Caenorhabditis elegans: one gene and its partners. The protein of the gene in region 3 purifies or fractionates together with the protein of the main gene of each other region. This does not show direct contact. Each region holds a gene or a part of one and is shown on either strand. Other genes may lie near its edges.

The links. Proteins that work in one complex are often made in the same cells at the same time.
Region 1: the proteins of nhr-199 (region 3) and C09G9.1 fractionate together in Caenorhabditis elegans (co-fractionation; one large-scale study listed by BioGRID). This does not show direct contact.
Region 2: the proteins of nhr-199 (region 3) and C49H3.4 fractionate together in Caenorhabditis elegans (co-fractionation; one large-scale study listed by BioGRID). This does not show direct contact.

What each region holds. Positions count from the first base shown.
Region 1 is NC_003282.8:8,862,085-8,867,511, reverse strand, and holds C09G9.1 (Rhomboid domain-containing protein), read left to right. Parts: upstream 1-2,028; 5' UTR 2,029-2,190; intron 2,191-2,323; 5' UTR 2,324-2,465; coding exon 2,466-2,499; intron 2,500-3,074; coding exon 3,075-3,231; intron 3,232-3,277; coding exon 3,278-3,406; intron 3,407-3,462; coding exon 3,463-3,663; intron 3,664-4,014; coding exon 4,015-4,744; 3' UTR 4,745-4,907; downstream 4,908-5,427.
Region 2 is NC_003282.8:7,913,364-7,917,230, reverse strand, and holds C49H3.4 (Sm domain-containing protein), read right to left. Parts: upstream 1,941-3,867; 5' UTR 1,920-1,940; coding exon 1,708-1,919; intron 1,148-1,707; coding exon 872-1,147; intron 824-871; coding exon 640-823; 3' UTR 521-639; downstream 1-520. Other genes in the region: ntl-4 (CCR4-NOT transcription complex subunit 4), read right to left, coding at 2,964-3,503.
Region 3 is NC_003283.11:15,698,005-15,701,747, reverse strand, and holds nhr-199 (Nuclear hormone receptor family member nhr-199), read left to right. Parts: upstream 1-1,848; coding exon 1,849-1,973; intron 1,974-2,017; coding exon 2,018-2,351; intron 2,352-2,410; coding exon 2,411-2,606; intron 2,607-2,657; coding exon 2,658-3,220; downstream 3,221-3,743. Other genes in the region: Nuclear hormone receptor family member nhr-53, read left to right, coding at 1-41, 291-486, 542-927, 983-1,084; srx-29 (7TM GPCR serpentine receptor class x (Srx) domain-containing protein), read left to right, coding at 3,549-3,587, 3,644-3,743. UniProt on the Caenorhabditis elegans protein: Orphan nuclear receptor.

The sequences.
Region 1 (5,427 bases), on a different chromosome or scaffold from region 3:
ATTTTTTTCTGTGAGATTTCTTCTTTTAGTTGTGTTGTGTCGTTTTTCCCGTCGTTCAATTAACTGAACATCTGTTTAAAACACTTCAATTTTATTGTTGACAAGTTTAACTACTTGTGTTCAACTCAACCAAGTATTTCTTGTAGATTCTCATGAAAAGATCATAAACTATTGTAGGTTGAGCCTTATAGCAAGCTAAATGAGAGCTTATAGAGAAATGTGAAAAATATATATTCGTGTTTCTAGAAACGTTTCTCTCTTGGTTTTATTTTTTGGAATTTCTAAACAGGAAAAACTATGCCAAGTCTTTTGATTGTCTGTAGAAGACGAACACCAGTTATCACAGAAACTGGTTTTAGTTGTTCTGCGAAATTCGTATTGTCTAATAAATTAGTATCATATGTTTTTTCTTTCTGAATTCATGCTAGTTTTCGATTTAGAAAACATTTTGATTGTATATTTAACTGAAAACATTTTCTCGGCTCGTCACCAAATCCCCGAAATTTATGACATTTTTGCCCATCATAGTTTTCTACAGGCCTGCTCAATTGTTCCATGTCATCCGCTCATTTCTGTTGTGCAAAATGTTCCACCCCCATCGAAAACAATAGAGCTGACAAGTTTAAGTTATAGTCGATCAACTTTCTTCGTAAAAGTTCATTAGATATCCATTTCTAATTGGAATTGACAAAAAAAAACGTTGATTCTCAGGACAACGTCACAGTTTCCAATCTGATATCCTATATCTCTAATAGAAAAATTCCCGAAATGCGGGTCTTGGCAATTGTCCATGAAGGGCCCTTAAAAGATGCGATGCTGAACAATTCAATGAATTTTCTTGCCATGTCAGAAATTTTTTAGCAAACACATTTCTGTTGAACACAACTTTTCCTTTTTCTTGCTGAAATAATCCTATCAAAACGCTCTATCAGTTCTATAAAATGGCAAATGAGAATAAAACAAAAATGTGAACACATGACATTTACAGGCAATTCATATCAGAGATTTATCGGAGCCCATTCGCTCGTTCCGATGTATTGCTTTGTTTTTGTTTCTTCTCCATTGAATTCCATCAATTCCCGCGAAAAAAAACATCACCTGTCACCTTGGGCGTCGCGGGCGCCCATAGGGACATCCTCTTTTCCCTTCAATGTCACCTCTGCGTCTCATTTCTTTCATCATTCTTGGCTCGATTTCACTTGTGTGTGTTGTCCGTCTGTCTCCCGCCCGTCGTTTTCTGCTGCTTTTCGCGCCCTCTCTTTCACTCCCCCACTGTGGTCGGTTGTGTCACTGTCTTTCTTATCGACCTCTTGGTGTCTGTTCCATCATCTTTTGTTGGTCTTGTCATTGGGTTTTGTTGTTTTATGTCCTTTTTCATTTGACAAATTCTGCAGGAAACAAATTTCGCAAGTATTCGCTCTAATTGCTGTTCAGATTGTCTCTGTGGATTTCGATTCACTAATCCGGATTTTTGCTCCCTGGATTTGTTAGTTCTCGTTCCTACATGGAGAATTTGAAAGTCTGTCACTCCGAATTTTGAAAATTTAATCGCCAAATTGATTCCACTTATTAGATATTACCCAGACGCGAAAATTTTGGATTTTAGTGCCAAAAATTGTTATAGTTTGAAACTACAGTACTCTTTAAAGGCGCACACATATTTCTATGCAATACATAATTGTCGCATTGAGGCCAGATACCGTATTTTCGCCCATAAAAATTGCGACATTTCGAGTCTGGGTAATATACAAAACTGTTTTTGAAATTTTCAGCAACACACAGCATATTTAATTTTATTGAATAAACATTGAAACTGATGGAAACAATTTTCCGATGGTAATCCAATGATTCTTGTTCTCAATTCACTTGCTGTTTGACTTGTTGCTTATCTTTCATTTCGAAATGAGCATTAAGTGTTCCCCTCCAATAGATTCTTTTGATTACCTCATTTCTCTATATACTCTAATTTTATCTGTACAATTGTACTTCTTTTTCTTCTTTTTCTTGTTGTATACATGGTTGTTGCAGAGCACAAAGGGCAACCAGACTCCGCCCATTTCTCAACTCTCTAAGTACCTTGAGAGGTAGTTAGAGAAAACGAGAAAACTACGAACGAGATCAGTTTATCAGCCAATCTGTGTGTTTGTTTCGAACGAGAGCAACTACCCGCTAGTCGTGGAATTGTGAGCTGTGAGTTTTTTGTTTGAAAAAAGAAGTATAAATGTAATACTGGGATCATAACCATTTTTTTGTATTTTCACTACTTTTGGATTAAAAAAAAAATGTCATGTTTTGGTCATTTCCAATCAAAAGTTCATTTCAGAATAAATTGGATTCCTAATTCAATTAGCCTCTTCCTGTCCGACCATATCTACGCTCTTCCAATCCATTAACCCCCGCCGACTGTGTTCGAACAACAACTACGACGAAATCAAATTCTTCTCTTACTAAATACGCCTAAAATAATGGGAATTCTTGATCATCCATCATCATCATCCGGTCAGTGTGGAACTATCTTTGAAAAAGATATTTTAAAAACTATATAAACATAAAAGAAAAATCTGCCCATTATGGCAATGAAACGCTTCGTTGATTGATAAATTGATGAATGGAATGTTTTATGATTAGTGACAGTGTTATCGTTTATATAGCGCCTAAAATAAAACTTTATGAGGACCCTATGGACTTTGATCGTGGGATGCAGAAAAAACTAACATAACACAAGTAGTTTCTCTTATCAGATTTATTTATCACTTGGATCCGATAAAAGATATGTTAAGATCCGTGGGCGCCGATGGCGCTCATTTATCAAAAATGTTCGAGGAAGAAAATCTGCAGAAAAATCTATTTTCTAGTTGTGATCAGGGCTGAATCCAAAATATTTTCTTTGTTGACAAACCGAGAACGATTAAAAAAAAAATTTCCATACTTTAATAATTGCGAGTGTTTTTTTTATGGAAAACAAAACTTTAAAAAGCATAAAATTAATTCTTCACCAAAAACATGAAAAAACAACAAAAATGCGGAAAACTAAATAAAAAGAAGCTCAGACTCATAATCATCAATATTTTCAGGTATCCAATCGGGTGGTGGTACATTTGGAATTGACTGGGCAAAATGGTTTCCACCAGTCACATCTCGATCCTTCCTTTCTCACTATCTTCCTGCTTCTGGAGCACTTTCACACACTCTTTACACTGTGCATTTGTTCAGTCCAAATATCATTTCAAGGTAAGTGTCTACGAATCAATTCTAAATTAGTTGTTTGTTTTTTCAGTCTGTTTCCGACGGGAGATCTTGCCGTCAGCAACACGATTCTGTTCAATGCCAACGTGGGACTCGGATTCTACGTGTATTTCAGAAGACACCTTCACCGTGTGAATCCATGGGAGAGAGTTGAATTCAGGTAAATTAACTTTTTTTTGAGAAAAAGAAAGATTCCAACAAATAATGATTTTTCAGTGTTCTTTCATCTACGCTGTTCAATTTTGGAAGTCTGCTTGCCGCAGTGCTCATCAAAGCATTGATCCCAGCAAAATCGCCAACTTGGCTCAAATCTCTGACAGCTACCGTACTCAGTGGATACCTACTGTCTCGAGCTGCAAAATATATGGGAATTCTCGACCATCGATCAAGCAGAGGTTCCGTTTCGCCGGCTAGAAGGTAGGCATTGTGCTTATTGTGAATGTGTGATTTTGTGTGCAATTACTGTGTTGAGTCATTTAACTTGTAATCAAAAGTTATAGAATCATAGATTTGATTTGAAAATTCAATTGGTGAAAATTCTTACATCGTTCTCGTTGTTTCTAATGACAACCGAGCAAAGTGTCCAGAACGTTTTAAATTATTGAAAAAAAAACTATCTTACAAAATTATCAAATTTTGACAATAATTATAGCCAAACCTGGATTAAAATTACATGATTTATTCAAATGAGTGGATATATTTAGAATACCTTTGTTCATTTGTTTAACATTCCAATTTCATAGTACTCGTTATTTCTCTGATTTCTAGCGTGCTGTCAAGACGGCAAACCGCTTCCCGTTCTTCTCATGCTGCAGAAGTTACACCTCCACCAGCATCATATGCTCCAGAAACACCTCGTTCAGTGGCTTCAACGTCATATTATTCTCCATCAGAACTGCATTTGGACACTACATCATCTGTTCAATTGGAGACTCCACCACAAAGCCATGAATCTGGATCTTTCATGCCAATGACACCTTCTGCCACAGAACATTCATCGTCAGAATTTGGGCAAGATTTGGAAGATGCTGGAGATAGACATGAAAATTATCGGTACCTTCACTCATATGCATTGAATAATTTGAATCATAGTCGCCCGAAGAAGGAAACGATTTTAAGAAGGACTACGATGAATCAGAAAAATCAGTTGGCCACACCACAGAAGCAATTGAGACGATCTTCGGAAACAATGGCTCCCATGTGCTTCGTGACTCCTGAACCATCGTGGAAAGAGCTGGATGTTGGAGTTTATACACCACCGCCGTCAAGAATGGATTTTACACCACAAGCCTCGAAAAAATTGACGAAGTCTTCAAAATCTGTGAAAATAATTCAAAAGAAGTCCCGCCGAATCCCGAACGAGAAGGATGATTTCGATCGATTTTTAGACGCAGTTCAGTGGCACGCCCCTTTAATTCTTGTACCAGTTGCATTTGGATGTTGGATAACTGGCAGTGTGCCAATTTTGAGCCCAACTTTACGATTTATTTTCGCATAATTGTTTTTTATCGCATTTGAATCTTCGATTTTTGAGATTCAAAAGTTTCCTCCCCCGTGTTTCATTGGAAACTCCGCCCCTCAATCTAATATTTACCGGTAGTGCCTGTTTTCTAGTGACCAAAATTTTTTGTTTTTATGGAAAATAAACATTTTTTTTTCTTAAATTTCAATGATACAACGGACGAAATAAGAATTTTCACCAATAAATTTCAAAATGCTTGAAATGTTTTGTGTGCCTTTAGTTTGCGTTTTTCCCGTTTTCAGACGACTCAATTTTTAGCATTCAACCTTCGCCACAACCATCGAATGGACATGCTCAAATAAATGGAATTCAACTCTAAATACTTGCATTTCTCCTTATTTTGTTCTCGTTGCTCCGTATTTTTCAAACTTTCAGAATTTTTTTGTCGGCTTTCTCACAATGCTCATGATACTCTTTTCATGGTAGTTTTTGTCCCAGATTTTGGTCTCGTTTTTTTATTGTATTTTCCGGTATTTTCTATTATATACATACATATGTTCAATCATAAAAGTTTCATGAAAAAGTAACGTTTATTAGTGAGAATAGAAATAAAAATGGAAACATTGTCTCATATTAAATAACTGAACATTTTGGGAAATGAAAATGAAAAATTTTGTGACATACAAAATAGAAGGCAGAGCAGTTTTTGAAGGTTCAAA
Region 2 (3,867 bases), on a different chromosome or scaffold from region 3:
AACCATCTCCCTGGTGCCCTTTTCTCGCCGTCATATTCACCATTTTTCTTTTTTCCTCGTAATTTGTAAATCAATTGTTTTTTTTGTTATTGCGCTCAATGTTTTCATATTTCCAATTTTTCGCTTAAATGTTCTTAGAATTGGATCAAGTTGTTGTTAATCTTATTCCCCTTACCCGTATTCTGATGGTTTTTTGTTTGTTCGCTGTTCAACTTTTTCCTTCACAATTCCTAAGTGCCCTTTTTGAAAATTCTATTGAAATTTGCAGACTTGACGTTATTCGGGTGTTTTTCTCTTTCTATACTCAACAAATTATGTTCCTTCCTTTTAACATCATCATCAACATCATCATCAATGCTCCCAAAAACGTTTAATGTCACCCATTTTATTCACTTCTAGATTCTTTTCCCGTTTTGTCATACACGACAAAATTGGGTTTTCATTTGACTTGCAGTAGCTCTTTCATTTTTTTTTCAATTTGACACTGTTTAATGGTACTGAATGAAAAACTGGTATATAAAAAAGTTTTTATATTTAAAAAATTTCATAAATTTACACAACTTCAGATGATAATAATTTCATTCAGACAAAAACTGTAAAAATTCCAAAATTAACCCGTTTTCTACAATTTCATGATATCTATGGAAGCATTCGTACCAAAACAACGGAATCTCCTTTAATGAAGCATGCTCTCTGGAAACGATGTTCTATAAGACGATTTGTTCCAACTTTCATAGGCCAATTTCCACCTTCTTTCCACCGAAGAAACTCTGGCAGTAGTAGTTGCATTTCTTTCCGATTTGTGAATTCTTTTTGTGCTTTTCTGAATTTATATTAATTTAGTAAACGAAGAAGAAAAAATCATTAAAACCTTCCATGTAGAACAGTTTCCGTAACATCTTTCATCATTAAATTGAAATGTTCATCAAAAGTGGTTGGTATTCCCTCGAAAATCCGATCAATTCGAATTGCCGAACGAACTCTTACTTCAATTCTCTTTTGATTTATAACTGCATTTGCAATCATCGACATTGGTCCTTCAATTGTAATCATTTTATCGTGAAATGTTATTCCTTTTTTTTCAATTACACTTCGTCCATCAGTCATCATTGCTTCCAATCGTATTTGACGATCTCGAGCTTGTTGTCTGAAAAAATATTAAAACTTTAAAATTAATTTTCCAATAGTTCGAATTGTTTGACTGTTTAAATAATCATAGGCTTTTTGTTTTGGAATTTTTGAGTTTTGCTCGCGAAAATTGCTAGCATTCAGAGTATAAATACACACAATACATAGATAGTGCAAAATTAAGAACATTTTTAAAGTACTTTTGGTCGACTTCCAAAATTATGATACTTGAAAATTGAGTAAATAATAGATACTTTTAAAAATGTTAAAGTGTTACTATTACATAGACGTCCAAAATGAGAATTTTCGTCTTATTTTACGCTCACGGGTCTCGCCACGCAGGCATCGAGCTACTGTAACTTCATGTGTTCGTGGTGAGACCATGCGTGTAAGATATGGCGAAAATTCGCATTTGTGGACGTCTATAAAATAGTAAGACTTGAAAAACATTTCAAAATTCAATATTCGGTCATGTTGGACTATTTTAAGCCGGCAACTTCGCGACTACCATAAAATATTTTACATCTAAATTTCAAAATTTCAATTAATTGAAAGTTATATTTTTTAAAAATAACGAACTTTTTACTTATAGTCTTTTCTTTTTCCTCTCTTACAGTTCTTTCATCAAAATCACAAATTTCTTCTGCAAGTTCCGGATGCAAATCCACTAGATTTTTCTCAAATTCATCAGTTTTGAAATCTTCACTATTTCCTTCGACCCCTTCGATAAGTTCTGGATTTTTTTCGGCCACGGTTTTTAAAAACTTCTCAATATCAAAATCCTCTGCCATTTTGATTTTAAAACTACCTTCCTGAAACAATGCCAATAATGTTAAATGATGTATTATTGGTTTGTGTCTTCTTAAAATAAAAATTAGCCTGTCAACTCGTCTCGTTTAATGAAAGTGTATAAAGTTCCACCAAATAATTTCTTTATTCGCCGTACCACTTTCAAAATACAAGCAAATCCAATCGCCTAAAAGAAGAAAAGCAAATTCTACTGAATACGATTAAAAACGCCCGTCATCCTGTTCTCAAACGAGGAGAAGTGAAGATTCTGGGTGATACGTGTATGAAAGAAAATGGTAACGACAAAAACTTGAATAAACTAAACTTTCAAAAGAAAAAGAAATACAGAAACCACGTTGATTCTTAGATTAGTTGAGGGTACAACTTAAATAAAGAAATCACATGAAAACTGCCACAAAAAGAGGGAGAAAGAAAATAAAAATTTGAACGGGACGCAAAGGAGGAAAGGAATGACCAGGACAGCAGAAAAAATAAAAGAAGCTATAAATAGAACCGTCCCGTTTCTAATGTGTGAATCCCAAAAAAAAGGAGAAAAAAGAAAGAGAAGCTTCATCACGATTCAGATGGTCAGCTTTGCAGTCTGTTCACTGCACGACTGTTCGCGAGAGCAACTTTAAGTTCAAGTCCGTTGGTGTTTTAGGGGGGAAAGGAAACGAAATAATCAAAGCATTTTCTATGGGAGAGGAGCAACAAACACGAATAAGAATCTGAATTCGAGGCGGAGGCGACTCCAACAAAATGAGCTAATGATACATGTCGTAAGAGAGGACAAAATGATTAAAGAAGAGAGCCAATAACATATGAAGAATATTATTATGAAGAATAATAGAATGTGTTGGAGTTGATGATATTAAAAAAGAATCATCTACAACAACCGGGAACGGGAATAATGGGGATACACATCAGAAATTTTTCTTTGTCTTTCGAATTCGAAAATGAAGGGAGAAAACGGTAGGAATAGAAGAAGATAACTAGAATGAGGGTGTGTGGGTGCTTTTGTGTGTGTGTGTGCAATTGTGCCAAAATTATCGGTTCATCACAGAAGAAAAACCGGGTGGTGGTGGGACGGCTGATGATCGCAGACTGTTCTCATGCGACCAACGAGACATCGAATTATCATCCATAAACCGAACATTTACATTTGGAAGAAGAGCTTTGAATGCATCTTGTGCAGATTGTGGCTGCTGTGATTGATGATCCTGCATCATACTTTGATGGCCTCCCATTCCGAACAATCCCATACTTGACTGTTGCTGTTGCTGTTGTTGTTGTGATTGTTGTGTCATGTGTGGAGGTGCTTGTTGTGTCGTGGAAGATCTGTTCGTAGATGGACCTCCGAGTCCTGGAGGTGGTGCCATTCCAAATGGTACTCGAGGCATCAACATGTCATTGTACATGTATGAGTTGATTCCAGCATACATCTGCTGTTGTTGATGTTGTTGTGCTTGTTGCTGCGCTTGATGTTGTTGCTGTTGGCGATTGAACAAGTCTTGTAGAAGACTGGACGACTGTGACGACTGAGACTGATGTTGTTGTTGCTGTGAAGACTGTTGTTGCTGCTGCATCTGGAACAATTTTGATCATGGATAAAGTTTACTAACATGGAAATTATTTCAGTTTTAGACTTCCGGATGAAACCTAGTAAATTTTTTAAAAAAGTTATTCAAAGTAGGTTTCTACAAAAAATAAGCAGCAGAAGACCGTGTTGAACTAGGAAAAAGCTGATATGAAATTGTTCAGTGCATTGTTTCACTACTTTAGAGGCCCGTGAAATTGCTCCAAGTCTACATTTTTACAAATTTTGATTATTTCAAAGGCATTCTGGAAATTTTTTTTCAAACCATAGGTACCTTTATCATCGAAAAGCTGCAGAAATACACGTCTGGAGCCATTTCACAGACATCTAAGGTAGTTAAATAATGAACTGAA
Region 3 (3,743 bases):
AGTTACTAGTTGTCAGGAAGAAGGTTCATAACCGGCAGGAGGTAGGGGTGATTTTATACGGATATTTGGATATTGTTAAAGGATGAAATCTGAACTTATGCTTTACATTTTTTTAATTAAAAAATACTCACAGTGAGGGTCGAACCCCCTAACTTTGTGTACAAGAAAACTCCCACTGCGCCGTTTGGGAAATTAAAAAAAAAAAAACTTTAAGAACCTCGAACATAAATTACAGAGTTTCATTTCGAAATTTTCAAAAAAATTACCAAAAGCTTAAAACTTTTTTCCAGAACCAACTTCCCCGAGCCATCAGTTTCAACGAGCTTCAAGTAGTGTATCAAAATGAGATGACTGTAATTTATCAATTCCTTTGCGAAGCATTTCCCGAGTACTCTGAGCTCCTTCCAGACACAAAACGATCGCTTTTTAAGAATTTTTTCCTACCATTCACACTTTTGGAGAGCTCATATTATGGATATTTGACGAGTAAGTTCCACTTTTTAGATAAAAATTAAAATTAAATCAAAAACTGAAATTTCAGAGCAAGAAAATGTGATGCTCATTCCTTCGGGCGACTACGTTGATTTGGCTCATCTAGAGTCATATTTCAACAATAATCATCACACGTTTTCTCAAAAAGACACTATTTCGATGTTTGCTCAGCAATTTCGAATGCTCCACACTTCTATAACTGTTCCGTTGAGTGCTGAAAATGTAGATGTTAATGAGTTTCTAGCTCTAGCGGCTATAATTCTCTGGGAATCCGATTTAGAAGTAGAAGCCGATCGGAAGAATGTTCAAGAGGAAGCTGTGAAGATTAAGAGCGCTATTATCAAGGATCTACTTTTTCACTATCAATCTATAAATGTATACGCTGACGTGGCAATGAGGCTTGGCGCTGTTTTGTCCATACTTCCTTCAATTCAGGTTTGCTGCTCGCGGAGCAACAATTTTTTGATTATAAGCTCAAAAGTTGTTTCAGAGAGCCAGTCACCGTTTCCACGAGTATATGGAAATCAAAAATCTGCTCAATTTGTATGCTCTGCCCAAGAATCTCTACGACATGTTCTCGCCAACTTCCTGAATTTTAATGTTTTTTTTAAATTTATTTTCTTAGTGTACAATAAACAAGTATTATTTTTATTTGTCTATAAAATTAAAACTTTTGTTAGAATTGTCCTGAAAAGCAGAAGTGGGGAATAAGAAGAAGAAATGTGCCGAATAAATGTACCGAACAATGCGACTTTGCAGTTGAGCAACTTTTTGAAATTTTTAATCAAAAGTAATGCTATTTTCAGAAAAAATAACTTTGGCAAATCCATAAGAAGGAGAGGATTTCGCAAATTCTGTTAATGCGCTCTGGTGGAGCATGCTCAGTTTAAAAAAAAGAGTATAATTTCGGAAAGCTGTGCAAACACGCCATGCAATTTTATAATTTTCAATAGGCACACGAGGTATAAAAGCATGCCACAACCATTGTTTTTCAAGAGTTTGTTGAGTTCTGAAATAACATCAGATTAAGCTGGAGTCCGATTTGCCTTTATGACTAATGAGCCTCGTGAATATATAATATATTGTCTCGTTAGCTCTCAGAGTGTTTGATCATATTCAAAACGTGTGTAATGAGTTCTATTTGGCAGACACATCACACAACAAATCTACCTCCAACTTTTTGATCTTACAAACTTATTTCTGCTTTTTTTAGTCTCTATATAGTCTAATCCAAGGGATTTTGTGAAGCTCAAAAATTCAAAAATCTCAGAATATTGTTATTCTTGTTTTTTTTAAATCCATTTGAAAACAGGTGCAGTTGCAGATGATAATTAATTATTCATTTATTTCAGAAACATGTTCACCCTAGCTCGTGTGTTGAACAATATTGGAAGCGCTTCATCCAATGAACCGATTCCATATTGTTTGATTTGTAGTGAGGTTGCTGATGGGAATCATTTTGGAGTAGCTGCAGCGTGTAGGTGAGTAACTTTTTCAAAAATTTTGAAATTCGTGAAATTTTCAGAGCTTGCGCTGCATTTTTCCGCCGCACAGTCCAACACAATAAGATCCACGAGTGTGGGAGAAATGGGCAATGCTTTTTCCTATCATGCAAGTTTTTATTGGTCGGGTTTCAAATATCACCACTAAGTTCAGACGCACGGAGCATGTGTAAAGCCTGCAGGTACGGTAAGTGCCTTGAAATGGGAATGCAACGATCATCGGTGCAACAGAGACGTGAACAACTCGGGAAACGTCTGAATATCTCTGATGATCGTGGAAAGCCAGTGCTTAATAAGTTGCGAAGAGCGTACGAAATGTTAATTTTAAACAGGAAACACGTGCATAATAGGCGGGAGGTAAGGACTGTTTAATTGTTCATATGAAATACTGATACCTGATCAGTGAACCATTTCAGAACCAAGCACCCCGAGCCATCGGCTTTAACGAGCTTCCAATCGTGTTTCAAAACGAGTCGACAAGCATATATCAGTTCCTCTGGGAAGCATTTCCCGAGTACTCCATGCTTCTTCCAGACACAAAACTCGCATTTTTCAAAAATTTCTTCTTGTCGTTCTGTCTATTTGAGAGCTCGTTTAATGGATGTTCAGCAAGTATGTTTTTTTTTCAGCCATAATTTTTTCATTCCATATCTAAATTTTCAGAGCAAAAAAATGTGATGCTCATTCCATCCGGTGACTACATCGATTTGGCTCATTCTGAATCGTTTTTCACCAACGATCATCAAACTTTCACTGAAAGAGACAATATTGAAATACTCGCTCAAAGGCTAAAATTAATACAATCATCTATAACTGTTCCGTTGAGTGCTGAAAATGTAGATATCTATGAGTTCCTCGCGCTTGCGGGTATCATTCTCTTGGAATCGGATTCTGAGTCAGAAGCCGATTTTCAAGAAGAAGCTGTGAAGATTAAGAGCAATATCATCAAGGATCTACTTTTTCACTATCAATGTATAAATATTTATGATGACGCAGCAATGAGGCTTGGCGCAGTTTTGTCCATACTTCCATCAATTCAAGTTTGTTGCTCGCGGAGCAACAATTTTTTGATTATAAACTCTAAAGATGTTTCAGAGAGCCAGTCACCGTTTTCACGAATACATGGAAATCAAAAATATGCTCAATTTGTACGCTCTTCCCAAGAATCTTTACGACATGTTCTCGCCAACTTCATAAAATTTATTTGTAAATTTGTTTCTATTTGATTTTTTTTAAATAGTTATACTGTAAATTTTTGATTCCAGTAGTATTAATAAAAATGTACAAAACTTTGGCAGCCACTTTTGCCGAGTACCTCAGAGCGCATTTGCAATTTCTATAACTGTTTTTTTTAGTTTGATCTACGAAAATGCGCTGATAATCTCTAGCTGTAAATTAACTATTATTTTTAATAATACATCAATAGTACCACGCCGTTGGCTAGACCGGAAATTAAAATGCACAGTTTTTCATATTTCCTTCAGATTTTTTTCATCACCATGATATTGTCTCATCAAGCTGTAAGTTACTCAGAAAACATTCTAAAATTTCCCAATGTATCAGCAATTTGTCGTCTCCGCAATCACCTTTATTGTGAGTTTTTGTAAAACGTAGTTGATAGAAGGTACTGTAAACTGCTCCAATTTCAGGTATCATTAATAGGTATCCTCTCAAATATAGTTTTAGTCCTTGCAATCCGTAAAACGTACTCCATGAATGGCTCTTTTGGGATAATCACTAAAAACCAAG